Elephas maximus indicus: one gene and its partner. The protein of the gene in region 1 interacts with the protein of each later gene in a biochemical or structural test. Links are inferred from orthologs where the notes say so. Each region holds a gene or a part of one and is shown on either strand. Other genes may lie near its edges.

Region 1 (6,465 bases):
GCAGGGGGCAAAGAGGAGGGAGGTAGAGAGTGAGGAGGTAGGTGGTGGGGGAGCTGGAGTCACTCTTCTCCATGACAGGGGTTGGGAGGTCCCTGAGAGCCCACTGAAGTCCGATACGATTTTATCTCTGGACAAACCTTCAAATCATGGTGGTGATAAGGGCTTCAAACCCGGGCTGGGCTAGGAGTAAGACGAAGCTATCTGTGTCTGTGTGTTAGGTGACCTGGCTTAAGCGATTGAATTTTTGTGTCTCCATTCCCTCACCTAAAAAACATAGGCCAGCTATGAGGTCTGAATGCGGCACAGGATCTTCAAGCTTTCTAAACTGTAAAGCGCTGGGCACATACCAGCTGGCGGGGGGGGGGGGGCGCGCGGGGAGGCCACTGAAGGAAGAAATGGCCTGGGGTTAGCAAGTGTAGCCTGGCTGCTCTGTCTCAAGTAATAATACGGATGATGAGGATGATATGATAAGAGATAGCTGTAACAATTACAGCTAACACTTCTAGAATGCTTACTGCCTGCCAGGCACTGTTCCAAGTGTTTTACATCTTAAACTCACTCAATCCTGACAACTCTAAGAGGTGGGTACTATCACCTTTTCTTTACAGACGAGGAAACTGAGGAACTGAGAGGTTAAAGTGACTTGCCCAAGTCACATTAGGAAGTGGCAGAGTCCAAATTTGAACCTAAGCAGTCTGGGTCCACATGAAGTCTCAACCCCCAGGCTCTGTGCTAAGTGCTCTAGTGTTTTATCTCATTTAATCCTACGAGGTGGGTATTATGGTTATATTCCCATTAAAAAAAAAAAAAATTCCTCTTCACTCTCCTGCATATGTTATGCCTTCAGACTTTTCCCTGCATTTATTTTTATGTAGGTCCATATACTCCTGTTATCATCTCATCTCGCTGCATTTTTCTTTACAGAGCACGTATTAGAACCTGAATTTATTTACACTTTGTGTGTGTCCCATCACTAGGCGACAGGTATTTTGATTATTGTTGATTTCCCAATACCCAGAACAGTGTGTGCTACACAATTTAAATAATGAATGTAGCTAATGGTACTAAGTAGCTTTGTGGCTCGTGTTGCATAAATACTGTACATACTCCAATTTTTGAAAAACTGCCTTGGAGGATTTTTTTTTAATAGGTACAGCCTTAACGCCCGCCCCCCCCAAAACAACAAAAAACTTTGCAGTCAAGTTGATTCTGACTCACTACAGAGTAGAGCTGCCCCATAGGGTTTTCAAGGGTGTAATCATTGTTTTTATTAGGTGCCGGTGGAGTCCGTTCCAACTCATAGCGACCCTATCATCTTCACAGGGGCAGATCTTCAGGACTTCTCCAGCCAAACTGCTAGTGGGTTGGAACTGCCCAGCGCCACCAAGGCTCCTTGTAAATACATAGACTTAGCTCATAGTTTTTAACAGATGGGTGACATTCCATACTGTGGATGTGGCGCTGTTTATTTAACCAGTGTTCTATTTAATTAAACCACATTTTCCCAATGTTTTTCTAACCCAAAACCAAAAAGCCAAAACCGTTGCCTAGGAGATAGGGACCTCACAGGACAGAGAACTGCCCCAAAGGGTTTCCAAGGAGCCGCTGGTGGATTCGAACTGCTGACTTTTTGGTTAGCAATAAACGTCCTTGCACATTTCTTTTTGTGCATTATGAGTACATATTTGTACGGAAGTGGAATTGCTGGAAAGGTATATACATTTAAAAATGTGAATAAACGCCCAACCAAATCCGCTGCCACGTCCAGTCCATTCCGACTCATAGCTACCCTATAGAACAAAGTAGAACGGCCCAATAAGGTTTCCAAGGAGCGGCTGGTGGATTCGAACTGCCAACCTTTGGTCAGCAGCCGAGCTCTTAACCACTGCGCCCCCAGGGTTAAAAAAAAAAAAAAAAAACAAGTTGGTAACGTCAAATTGCCGTCCGGTATGTATTCGTGCCAGCGCTGTTAGGGTACACGGCAGGTTTTTATATATCTTGGACCAAACTGGCTATTACCAGTCTTTAAATTTTTTGTCAATCTGATGGGAGGCGGGGGATGAACCCCCAATTTATAGATGAAGAGGGTCTCAGAAAGAGTGGCTTTCCCACACAACCCGTGAGTGGCAAAGTCGTAACTCGGCGTCGGAGGTGTTCGACTACGGAGAGGACGCGCCAAAGCTGGTCACTGTCCTCCGTGCTGTGCATCCTGGGGGACGTCTGGTCACGCCAGGCTGCCAGGAGCTCCCCCGGCCCTCAGACCCGGCCCTCAGACCCGGCCCCGCCTGGCCGCCGCCGCCTAGCCGATAACCCCCCCAAGCCCTCTTCGCAGCCTCCTCAGCTCCGAAATGGCGACCGCCAGGAGCGCGAGGCTACGGCCCTCCCCTAGGAGGCGGGCCCGAGTTCAGACCAGAACGACAGATGCCCGAACCAAGCTCGTAGTCGGCTGCCAGGCGGGCTCGCGCAGAAGCAGAGCCGGTGGCGCAGCAGGCCGGGAGGAGGAGCACCGAGCGCAGGGTTCGCTCGCCGGGGCCGCCCGAGAGTGTCTTCATTGCGGGCGCTGGGGCCGCCATCTTAGATGGCGGGAGTAAGACGAGAGCGAGCGTGAGGCGGGAAGGCTTCCCTGCGGTTTTCCCTGGGCCCCGCAGCGGGCCAGTTGGCGAGGCTTTGGGGTGTGTATCCTAAGGCGCAGAGCGCGAGTGGGACGATGCGGGGACTGCCCGGGGCCCCGTCCCCGGGGTTGGGGACGCGTCGAATGTGACCGCCTCCCGCTCCCTCACTCTCCGCGGGGAGGAGGAGCGGACTGGACGCCGCCGCCGGACGACGGAACGCGGGGTCGGCCTGGCTCCTTCAGGTAGGCGGCGGCGCCGGGTACTGGAAGCCGGGGGAGCGGGGCGGCGGGGCCGAGGGACCGGGTTCCCTGGCGGTTGGGCCTGGGCGGCGCTGACGGAGCGGCCCCGCGGCTGCCCGGGCGGAGGGCCTGGGCCAGGCCGCTGTCACCCCGGGTGGCGCTGGGCGGCAGGGGTGCCCGGGGCCGGGTGTCATGGCCGGCGACCCAAGTTCCCATATCCCCACTCAGATTTCCTTGTGTTTCGGGGAAACGTGCCAGCGCCACCCCTGTGCCCAGTGCACATTCCTCATATTTTGGCAGTGGGAGAATCCGCCCAGAGCTGCCCCGTATCGGTGTTGTCACCCGGATGAGCTAATTCCTTTTTCTTTTCTGGTCGCGGGGTGGGTACCCGGGCCTGCACCTTCTCTCGGGGTCCTTCACCCCAATGTCACTCTTTTAGGGAGGATGAAAGGAATTGAGAAGAAAGGATATGGGTCAGTGCCCCATCACAAAGGCATAGGGGCCTCGCCTTGGGTTTCAGGACTCTGTGGGTTCCTAATGAAAGGTTTAGGATGCTTAGGCTGAGCATGGGCCCCGGGATGCTTCGGAATGAAGATCCAGGGCTGTCTTTTGTGTGAAATAAGAGCCGCTGCCGGGACGCTTCAGCCTTGCAACTGCACAGGCTCTGCAGAGCTAGCTAGTCGGTGCCCCGAGAGAGGAGTTAGGATCCCGAGAGGCGAGGCGCTTGTGTTCGTTCGTTGTTCATTTTCCAGGGTCTGGGTGTGCCCATGGTATTCATTCTCTAGTGGGAAGAATGATGGGGTCTCATATTGTCTCCTTGAGATGTGACCGGGTTCGAGGAGGTCACTTAATCTAGGTAGGGAATGAATTCACACGTTCGCGGAGCTTTTCTGCCTGCCTAGCCCTGTGCAGGGTGAGTGGGGAGAAACGGCCCTCCGTGCGCTCCCAAGACGTGAGAACAACGCCATATGATAAGGATTGGCTTGCCGAGTGCTGTGGGAACTTAGAACACCTAGTTTTACCTAGGGGACCTAAGGAGGAGTGTACGCCAGAGGGGACTTTTGCGCCGAGTTTTGAAGGACTGATGAGTAAGTGCTCACTAGGTGAGGAGGAGGGGAAGGGCATTCCTAGCGGAGAGAACTCCTGATAGGAAAGGAGGCATGCAGGAATTGGGATGAGTTTGGGGAGCAAGCAAATAGTTTGGGGTGCAGGGAAATAGTGAGAGAAGAGAGTCCAGAAGAAAAGTTGCTAGATTGTTAAGGGTCTTTCTTTGTTTGAACACAGTGGTGAATTAGTTGGTTTAATTTGGATTCTTCTGAATAAAAAATAGGTGTTGCTAATTTTTTATTCTTACTGATACCTAATCATTTTTCTCCTCTTTTTTTTTGAACGTTTTATTGTGTTTTAGGTGAAAGTTTACATAGCAAATTAGTGTTCCATTCAACAGTTCACAAATTGTTCCGTCGCATTGGTTGCTACCCCTGCAACGTATCAGCACTTTCTCCATTTCCACTCTGCCTTCCCTGTTTGCCTCTGTCCACTTTCCCTGCCCCTCCTTGCCTTCTCAGCTTTGTTTTTTGGGCAGATGTTGCTCATATAGTTGATTGTTCTAAGGAACACGTTCCTCACAGGTGTTGCTGTTTATTTTATAGGCCAATTTATTATTGGGCTGAAAAGTGACCTCTGGGAGTGGCTTCATTTCCAGGTTAAAAGGGTGTCTTAGGGCGATAGTCAGGGGGTTCCTCCAGTCCCTGTCAGTCTAGTAAGTCTTTTTTTTTTTTTTTATGAATTTGGATTTTGTTCTACATTTTCTCCAACTCTAACCGGGTTCTCCTATTGTGTCCCTGGTCAGAGTGTTTGGTAGTGGTAACCGGCACCATCTAATTCTTCTAGTTTTAGGCTAGAGGAGACTGGTTTGTGTGGGCCATTAGTCCTGTGGACTCATTGCTTCCTTGAGTCTTTGGTTTCCTTCACCCTCCTTTGCTCCACACAGGAAGAGACCAGTAGTTGTGTCCTTAGACAGCCGCTCAAAATCCTTTAAGACCCCAGATGCTACTTACCAAACTAGGATTTAGAACATTATTTTTATGGACTATGTTATGCCAATTGATCTAGATGTCCCCTGAGACTGTGGTCCTTAGCCTCCAAACCCAGTAACTCAGTCCCATGAGGTGTTTGGGTATGTCTAAGAAGTTTCCATAACTGTGTCCCATATATGTATGCTCTATTATATATATATGAGTATATATGCAGAACATACAAATATGTATATACAAATGCCCACAACTATACCTATATATGCACTTGCATATACTCGTATACGGCCACCTGTACCTATATAGCATACATGTCTACCTATGCAACCAAAAAAAAAAAAAAAACCCAGTGCCATTGATTCGATTCCAACTCATAGCGACCCATAGGACAGAGTAGAACTGTCTCCTAGAGTTTCCGAGGAGCGCCTAGTGGATTCAAACTGCTCACCAATTCGGTTAGCAGCCGTAGCACTTAACCATTCTGCCACCAGGGTTTCCTACCTATGTAACCACTCGCAAATTTTTGGTTGTTATTACTGTTGCAGAGTTTCGTTACAGCATTTACCTGGGTAGTCGTTTATTCTTGGGTACCTGTTACTGTCGTCATTTACTTTGGTCCCTCTCTTGATGATATTAAAGCTGATAGTAATTAAAAAGATTTACTTCGTTAAACCCAGTTAGGAACATTTTTAAAGTGTTTTAGATGAAATGCTTTCCATTTATACAGTAGTGAATGGACTGATGTCACATTCTTAGGGATTCATGCACAAGATTCCTCTAAAGTTATGTTTGCTCACAAAATGTTGAATATAATGTACATTTTACTAATTTTCAGTTTTAAATGGCTGTTGACAATATAAACCATGCTCACCAGTCATATAGAATTTGACAGATTTTATAAAGCACCTGAAAATGCTAGTGAATATTTTTGGAATAGCAAATGTGTTTTATATAGTAAAACAAGGTAGATTCCCCTGATTGCAATTCCCTTGTAAAGTCTTTCCCTCTATGAGCATAATTTTCCTAAAATAGCTTTGTTATTGTGATTAATGCTAATATTAAAGGAATTATTAAGATATTAATACACTTCAGCTGGCAGTTTCTAAATTTTTCTTGGGTTGTAATGATTATATACCACTGAAGAACATTAAATTCTTTTGGGTTGTTTTCACCCTTATCACTTCAAGGGCTAATCTGTTTAAGATGCAGCAGAAACATTTGACCCAGTTGAACACTGGATACTTGGGAGAATAAACCTGTTACTGTTTCTGTTCTAAACGTTGATCTGTTAGGTGTGTGGTGTTTATGATTATAAACTGTAGTGCAATTGCTTAGTCTTGTTATAGTTTGGTCAGTAGTGGAAAAATAAAACCTGTGTCTTCAAAGTAGAAGGCTTGAGTGAAGTGCATTTGAACATATTTTATGGAATTTGGTTTAGTAGAGAGAAAACTTCAGTGAGAAGGCAATTAAGCTAGTCATTAATAACAAAAAGTGTCTAAAACATAAATGGAGAATGGTTAAATATCAAATATCTTGCAATTGCTCTGGAACTAGTTGCTTTTAGCTTAAAACCTGCCA
Region 2 (6,465 bases), on another chromosome or scaffold:
GCAGTAGCATTGTGAGGAAAAGAAGTGGACTGATTAGAATGGCATTAAGAAGGTAGAATTTATAGAGCTAGTGACCAATTGCTTTTAGGGGAAGGAAGGAACAAGAATGGCAGCCAGGAGCAGAAATGTCTAGAATTTCTACCTTTCCCAACAGGTTTTGTATCAATCACCTCACCTTCTCACTGCAGCAGCCTGCCCTGAGCCTCCGGTAAAGAGATGGTGAAGGTGACTTTCCAGAGGTCATATGGGGAGTTAGTGCAGAACTCCTTCAGGTTACTCTATGATGCTGGCCCACAACCTGGGCCTGTCTTTTCTCCCTGACCCTTATCACAGTTGAGGGTGCTACATTTATCCAGCATCATCGATTAAGTCTAAAAAAAAAAAAAATTTTTTTTTTTTCCATTGCTAGCCCATGTGTGCCATGAGGGCAGGGACGGTTATTGGTTTTGCTTAGAAGGTTCTCAAGATGCATTTACAGAGCGAATGTAGGAAAGAAACCAACAATCATATCATCACTTCTTCTTTGAAGGCATTGTTTCCAGTCTGGACTCTGACACTTAACTAGCTGTGAGGCTTGGAGTAAGTCACTGCATTCCACTTATTTCTTTTACTCATCTGTGACTTTTAAAGTACATATCTTTGGCTTAGACAGCCTTCTTCTAGTATATTTTCCTAAAATCATCTGCCAGATGTGTAAAAATATGTGTACAAGGACGTTCATTTCAGAGATATTTTTAAAAGGAAAACCAAACCAAACCACCTAAATGTCCAACACTAAAAGTTTGTTGAATAAATTATGGCACGGCTATAGAATAGCCATTAAAATGATGAAGATTTATATTGGATATGGATGTTCTACAATGGTAGAGTAAAATGTCATTTTTGTGTGAAAAAAACAAAATCACCTATACCCATTGCTTTTTAAACAGGAAATATATACTCCAAATTGTCACCTATGTTTATATTCAGGTAGTGGAATAGAAGTCTTACTTTTTTTTCCTCTGAATTTTCTACAATGAACTTGTATTATTTCCTAATAAGAAATGAAAACAACAATTATTTTAGTCCCTAGGAGGTAGTTTTAAATGTCAAAGACTGTCCTAGGGCCAAATCAGATCAAGACCATTAGAAAGTACCTATTATATTTAGTCTTTGGTATTTTTTGGTGTCCTCGATGTTCTTTGCCAACACCGTAATTCAAATGCATGAATTCTTCTTCAGTCTTCCTTATTCACTGTCCCGGGACTGCCAGAAGAATGAACGAATCTTGGAAGAAGTACAGCCAGAATGTTCCTTAGAAGCAAGGATGGTTCGTCTCATATACTTTGGACATATTACCAGGAGGGACCAATCCAAAGAGAAGAACATCAGGCTTGGTAAAGTAGAGGGTCAATGAAAGAAAGAAGACCCGCAATGAGATGGATTGACACAGTGGCTGCAACAATGGGCTGAAACATAGCAAGGCACAGGACGGGGCAACGTTTCCTTTTGCTATGTATTTTTTTTTTTAGTCGAACGGACTAGTTGGCACCTAACAACATTATATTTAGCAAAAAGAAAGCGGTTGGTGGCTACAGTGAAAGGAGTTTTGGTGGATGCGGAGCTACTTGTCAATAAAATAGGAATTATGGTTTAAAAAATAATTTTTCAGGAATCTTGTGATGATCATGTGGGAAGGAGGATGAAATATATGTGCAAATATATGTATATGTATGTACATATATGTATAAAAATGTATACGTATACATATATGTATAAAAAAAAACAAAAACATTTATACAGAGGAAGAAGTAAACGCTCAAGAGTGAGGAAAATGCTGCAAAGCCTGGTCAGGCGCTCACTCAAAACAAGTGAGCATGCGCGAAAGTACAGGGCGCCTGTTACAAGACGTACAGGAGAAAAAGCAAGGCGTTTCATTTCTGAATTTTGAATATAGAGCAAGGAAACATGCAAAAAAGTTAAAAAAAAAAAAAAGTCAAAGTTAGTTCAATTGCATTTCTTGAAACAACGGCCTTGCAAGCCCAGCAATAGTCCCAGGGGCCTCGGCGTCCGCGGTAGTACATTTTTCTGGCGCAAAAGCAAAGCAAACCCAACTGCTGCATTGAGCCGGTGGCGCGAGACGCCCTGCGCTACCCGTCGGACCAATCAGAGATCAGACTGCGCCGCAGGGGCGGGGGCGTGGCGAGGCGCGCCGGCGCGTGCGCTCTCGTTGTCGCTGCGCGGCTTCTGGTCGGTGCTGCTGGGCTGTGGTGCGCTTCGCCTGCCGCTGCGTTGCTGACTGCCCGCCGCGCTCGGCCCCGCGATGCCGGTAGATCTCAGCAAGTGGTCCGGGCCCCTGAGCCTGCAGGAAGTGGATGAGCGGCCGCAGCAGCCGCTGCAGGTCAAATACGGCGGGGCGGAGATCGACGAGCTGGGCAAAGTGCTGACGCCCACCCAGGTATCCGGGGCGGCGGGAGGCCCGGGCGCCCTGCGCTCCGTCACGGCGGCGGGGGTGCAGCTGCTCTCGGCTTGCCGCCGTGTGCGGGCCGGCGGGGGCTGGGGACGGGGTTGCTGCCTGCGTGCGCTGCAGGCTTGGGGACAGGCCCGAGTCCCCGGGACCCGGCACGTGGCGCACGCGGTTGGCCGGCTGGAGAAACTGATCTGCTTTGCCAGGACTTAAAGGCACCGAGAGGGCCCGGAAGAAGCCCCGACTACGGGCGCAGGGACGGGGAGGGGGCCGTGGGGACTCGGGAGTGGGGGCCTCCATTTGGGGAGCAGAAGCGTCGCTGGAGAACACGTGACGCGTTATGTAACAGCGACCCGCAGTGCCTAGCGTTTTCTCCTTTGTTTTAGCGGTCGTGGAATCCACCCAAAGGGAGTAAGGACGTTCTGCAGCTGGCGGACGGTTCTGCAGCTGGCAGGTTCCAGGGCAACGGCCGGCCTTGTTCTACCGTTTGGCCCTCCTGGAGCCGGTGGCAGAGCCATGACCGGGTCCTGCCTGCAGAAAGTAGAGAAACTAGGTTTTCCGACGCCATTGTTAGTTGCTGGTTATGAAGCTTCAGGCCACAGCGTGAATAAACTGTTCTGACCTCAGGGTTTTATTTTTTTAATGTTTAAACAAAGTGACCATCTTGGAGCTGACCCAGCCTCCCTTTTCTCATATTAACTGCCTCACCAGCTTCCCTATTTCTTTTTCTCTGCACTGTAAATGCCCAGTTAATTGAGATTTCCTTTTAGCAGGCTCCAGGTAACCTGTCCACTTAGTCTTCCCAGTACTTTTCCGCTGAGGGTGAGCGTTGAGTTTGGAGACTCAGTCAAGGCCAGCGTTGGACTCGTGGCCCCACCTCCTTCTGTTACTAACGTACTGGGACATCACCCCCGCGGTGTTGTTGGCGTTAAATACTGTATTTACAACTTCAGCTCCTGGCTGTTCAGTAGACTCAATACGAAGTTAACGTTTATTAGTAATTGACTTTGTTTTACCTTTAAGGAAGGCCAGATCTAAGAAAGAACATTGGTTTCTTCAGCAATTCTTGAATTAACTCCGAACTGGTTCCTCACTACAGGTTAAGAACCGCCCCACCAGCATTGCATGGGATGGCCTGGATTCAGGTAAACTCTACACCTTGGTTCTGACAGACCCAGATGCCCCCAGCAGGAAGGACCCCAAGTACAGGTAAGTTGGGGGTAGGTGAGGAACAATGAATGGGCCATGCAAATATGATCTGCATTTTTCAGACTGTGTAAGTTTACAGCTGGGTAGCTCTACTAGGAAAAGTGGACCTGGTTTGGGATGTTCACACCCATGCTTAAATCAGCCTGTATTTCGTCCCCTTCCCTCCCTAGAGCAGAGGTCTGTAAACGACAACTGAGAGCCAAGTCCACCCACAGCCTGTTTTTTTCTGGCCTTGTCAGCTAAGAATGGTTTCTGTGTTTTATAAATAGTTGGAAAAAAATGTGAAAGAAGAATAATACTTTGTGACATAAATCTTATCTGAAATTCCACTTTCAGTGTCTATAAATAAAGTTTTGTTGGAAAACAGTGTGATTATTTATTTATGTTTTGTTTATGGCTGTTTTCAGCCGCACTGCAGAGTTGAGTAGCTGCCACAGAGACAGTATGACTTGCAAAAACGTAAAATCTTTGCTCTCTGTCCCTCACAAAAAGTTTGCTAAGGCATGCAGTCTACGGGAGGGTGGGGCTGGGTCCTCTCTCCTGCATACAGATGAAGCTCGCACTGGCCAGTGTCTGTCTGGTTAGGCTGCAGCCTGGCCTGGAATGTGATGTGCTCAGTACGCATTTGCTGGTGCAGTGAACCTGTGATTTCCTGTGGTGTTGATGACCCTGTGTTCCTCCGCGTAGGGAATGGCACCACTTTCTGGTGGTCAACATGAAAGGCAACGACATCAGCAGTGGCACAGTCCTCTCCGATTACGTGGGCTCTGGGCCTCCCAAGGGCACAGGTCAGTTAAGGCTGCTTTTGCGGGGAGGTGAAGGGGGACCTGGGTTAACACATTTTAGTTTGCTTTTTGAACTGGTACTCTTTTTATTTATGAGCGCCCTTAACCCCATGTGAGATTTAAGGCAGCTCATTTCAGCTTCAGAGTGGTTGGCTCCCAGAGTCCATTCAGACCTGCAGGAGTGTCCAGTAGTTAGAATCCTGGGTTCTGGCGTCAGATGGACCCTCTGTGTAGAATTACCTCTCAGCCACTTGGCCTTTAGGAAGCAAGAAAATTTGATGAGAAGATTCCAACATGGTGCTATTGTAGAAAGCTCGGAGTGGTTTTCTAGTGGATTGAATACAGTTAAACCATCTCAATTCTATATGCAGCCTCTGCCCTGTGTGATCTTTGAGTTTCTAATTCCTGTCAAAGGTCGCAGAAATGTCACAGCTTCCAATTATTAAAAACAAATTGGCTTTCTTATCTTTTTATGGCTCCTCTTTTCTTTCTCTCACAAATCTAATTAGTGACCTTGAAAAAATTTTGAGAACTTCTGAAGGCACACACGTACATATTGTATTGCATTGTATGACACATGTTATATGAGAAACAAATGAGAGAGGGAGAGAACACAGCTTTGAAACTCTCCAAGTTGAGTAAGGGCTCCCTAAGCTGCTAATAAATATTAATAACAATAAGCTGATGCATTATTGTTACCTCTGGTGCATTACAGCAGCTTTCCATTTTCTGGAACAAAGAAATAGTTATGGGTGGGGCATGGCAGAGTACTAGCTTTCATACATATTGTCCAGCCATGAGTTAGTGTGAAGGGGTACAGGGAGATCCCTGATAAGAGCAATTGGTCATGGACTCAATGTTTTATCTGTAGACCCAGAAGCTTCAGATGGCTTCTTGTCCTCTGATGCATCATAACAGGAAGTTAAAGGGACATGTTTCCCAGGGATCTATTAAGCTCTCTAGGGCAGTTTTAAAATTAGGCGGGTTAATTATGGGAAGTATTCTCATGAGAATAAAGCAATTCTCTGCAGTAGGAACTGTGTTCTCATATTTTTAAAAAAGCCTCAGAAATTGACTTTTTGCTTTGTTCATACTTTTAGTAAGGCATAATTTATGTATAATAAAACGTACAGACCATAAGGGCTCAGTTAATGAATTTTGACCCAGGCATACGCCCACGTAACCACTATCCAAAATAAAATATAGGACATTTCCGTCTCCCTAGAAGGTTCTTGTGTGACCTTTTCAGTTAAATTCTCTCAGAGGTAACCATTTTCTGACTCCTATCTCTGTAGATTACTTTTGCTGTTCTTGTATTCACACAAAGGGTATCATGGAGTATGCATTTTGTTTTGGTGACTCGTTTTTTTCGCTCAGGATAATGTCAGATTTATCCGTTACTGTTCGTATCTGTGGCTCCTTCTGTATTGCTCAGTAGTATTCCTTTGTGTGAATAGACCACAGTTTGCTTAGCCATTTTCCTGTTGATGGGCGTTTGGGTTGTCTCCAGTGTTTGGATATTATGAATAAAGCCGCTGTATAGATTTTTGTCATTTTGTTAGCATATGTTTTCATTTCTGTATAAATAGGAATAAAATTCTTGGGTCATAGACAGTTATTGGCTAATTTTGTATAAGATGTTGCCCAAGAGTTCTCCCTAATGGTTGGAAATTTTTATATTCTAATGAGCTGTACAGGAAAGTTCCAGTAGGTCCATATCTGTGCAGACGTTAGGTGTTGTCAGTCTTTCTGGTTTTAGTGTTTATGACCTTGCTGACTAATGATGTTGAACATCTTTAATGGTGTGCTTATTTAAAGAACTCTCCCCCCCCCCCCCCCGCCCGCCGCAAGAATTTCATGGTAACATTTGTGCCTACCTAATTGGAGCTTGCTGGCTGGCTTCAAACATTTTTTTTTACTTAGTTGGTTAAAGTGAGTTTGGGTCATTTCAAAGCAGATCTCTAGTCATTGAAGGAAGTAAGCTTTGGTGGTACAAAGATGGATAACAATGTTACCGTGATAGAA

The links.
Region 2: the proteins of RAF1 (region 1) and PEBP1 form a complex in vitro, tested with the Homo sapiens proteins (3 studies listed by BioGRID and IntAct, with this or other methods). The link is inferred for Elephas maximus indicus from reciprocal best matches to the Homo sapiens genes RAF1 and PEBP1.

What each region holds. Positions count from the first base shown.
Region 1 is NC_064838.1:37,862,418-37,868,882, reverse strand, and holds the start of RAF1 (RAF proto-oncogene serine/threonine-protein kinase), read left to right. Parts: upstream 1-2,446; 5' UTR 2,447-2,854; intron 2,855-6,465. UniProt on the Homo sapiens protein: Serine/threonine-protein kinase that acts as a regulatory link between the membrane-associated Ras GTPases and the MAPK/ERK cascade, and this critical regulatory link functions as a switch determining cell fate decisions including proliferation, differentiation, apoptosis, survival and oncogenic transformation.
Region 2 is NC_064840.1:15,686,596-15,693,060, forward strand, and holds the start of PEBP1 (phosphatidylethanolamine-binding protein 1), read left to right. Parts: upstream 1-2,205; 5' UTR 2,206-2,302; coding exon 2,303-2,437; intron 2,438-3,545; coding exon 3,546-3,655; intron 3,656-4,342; coding exon 4,343-4,443; intron 4,444-6,465.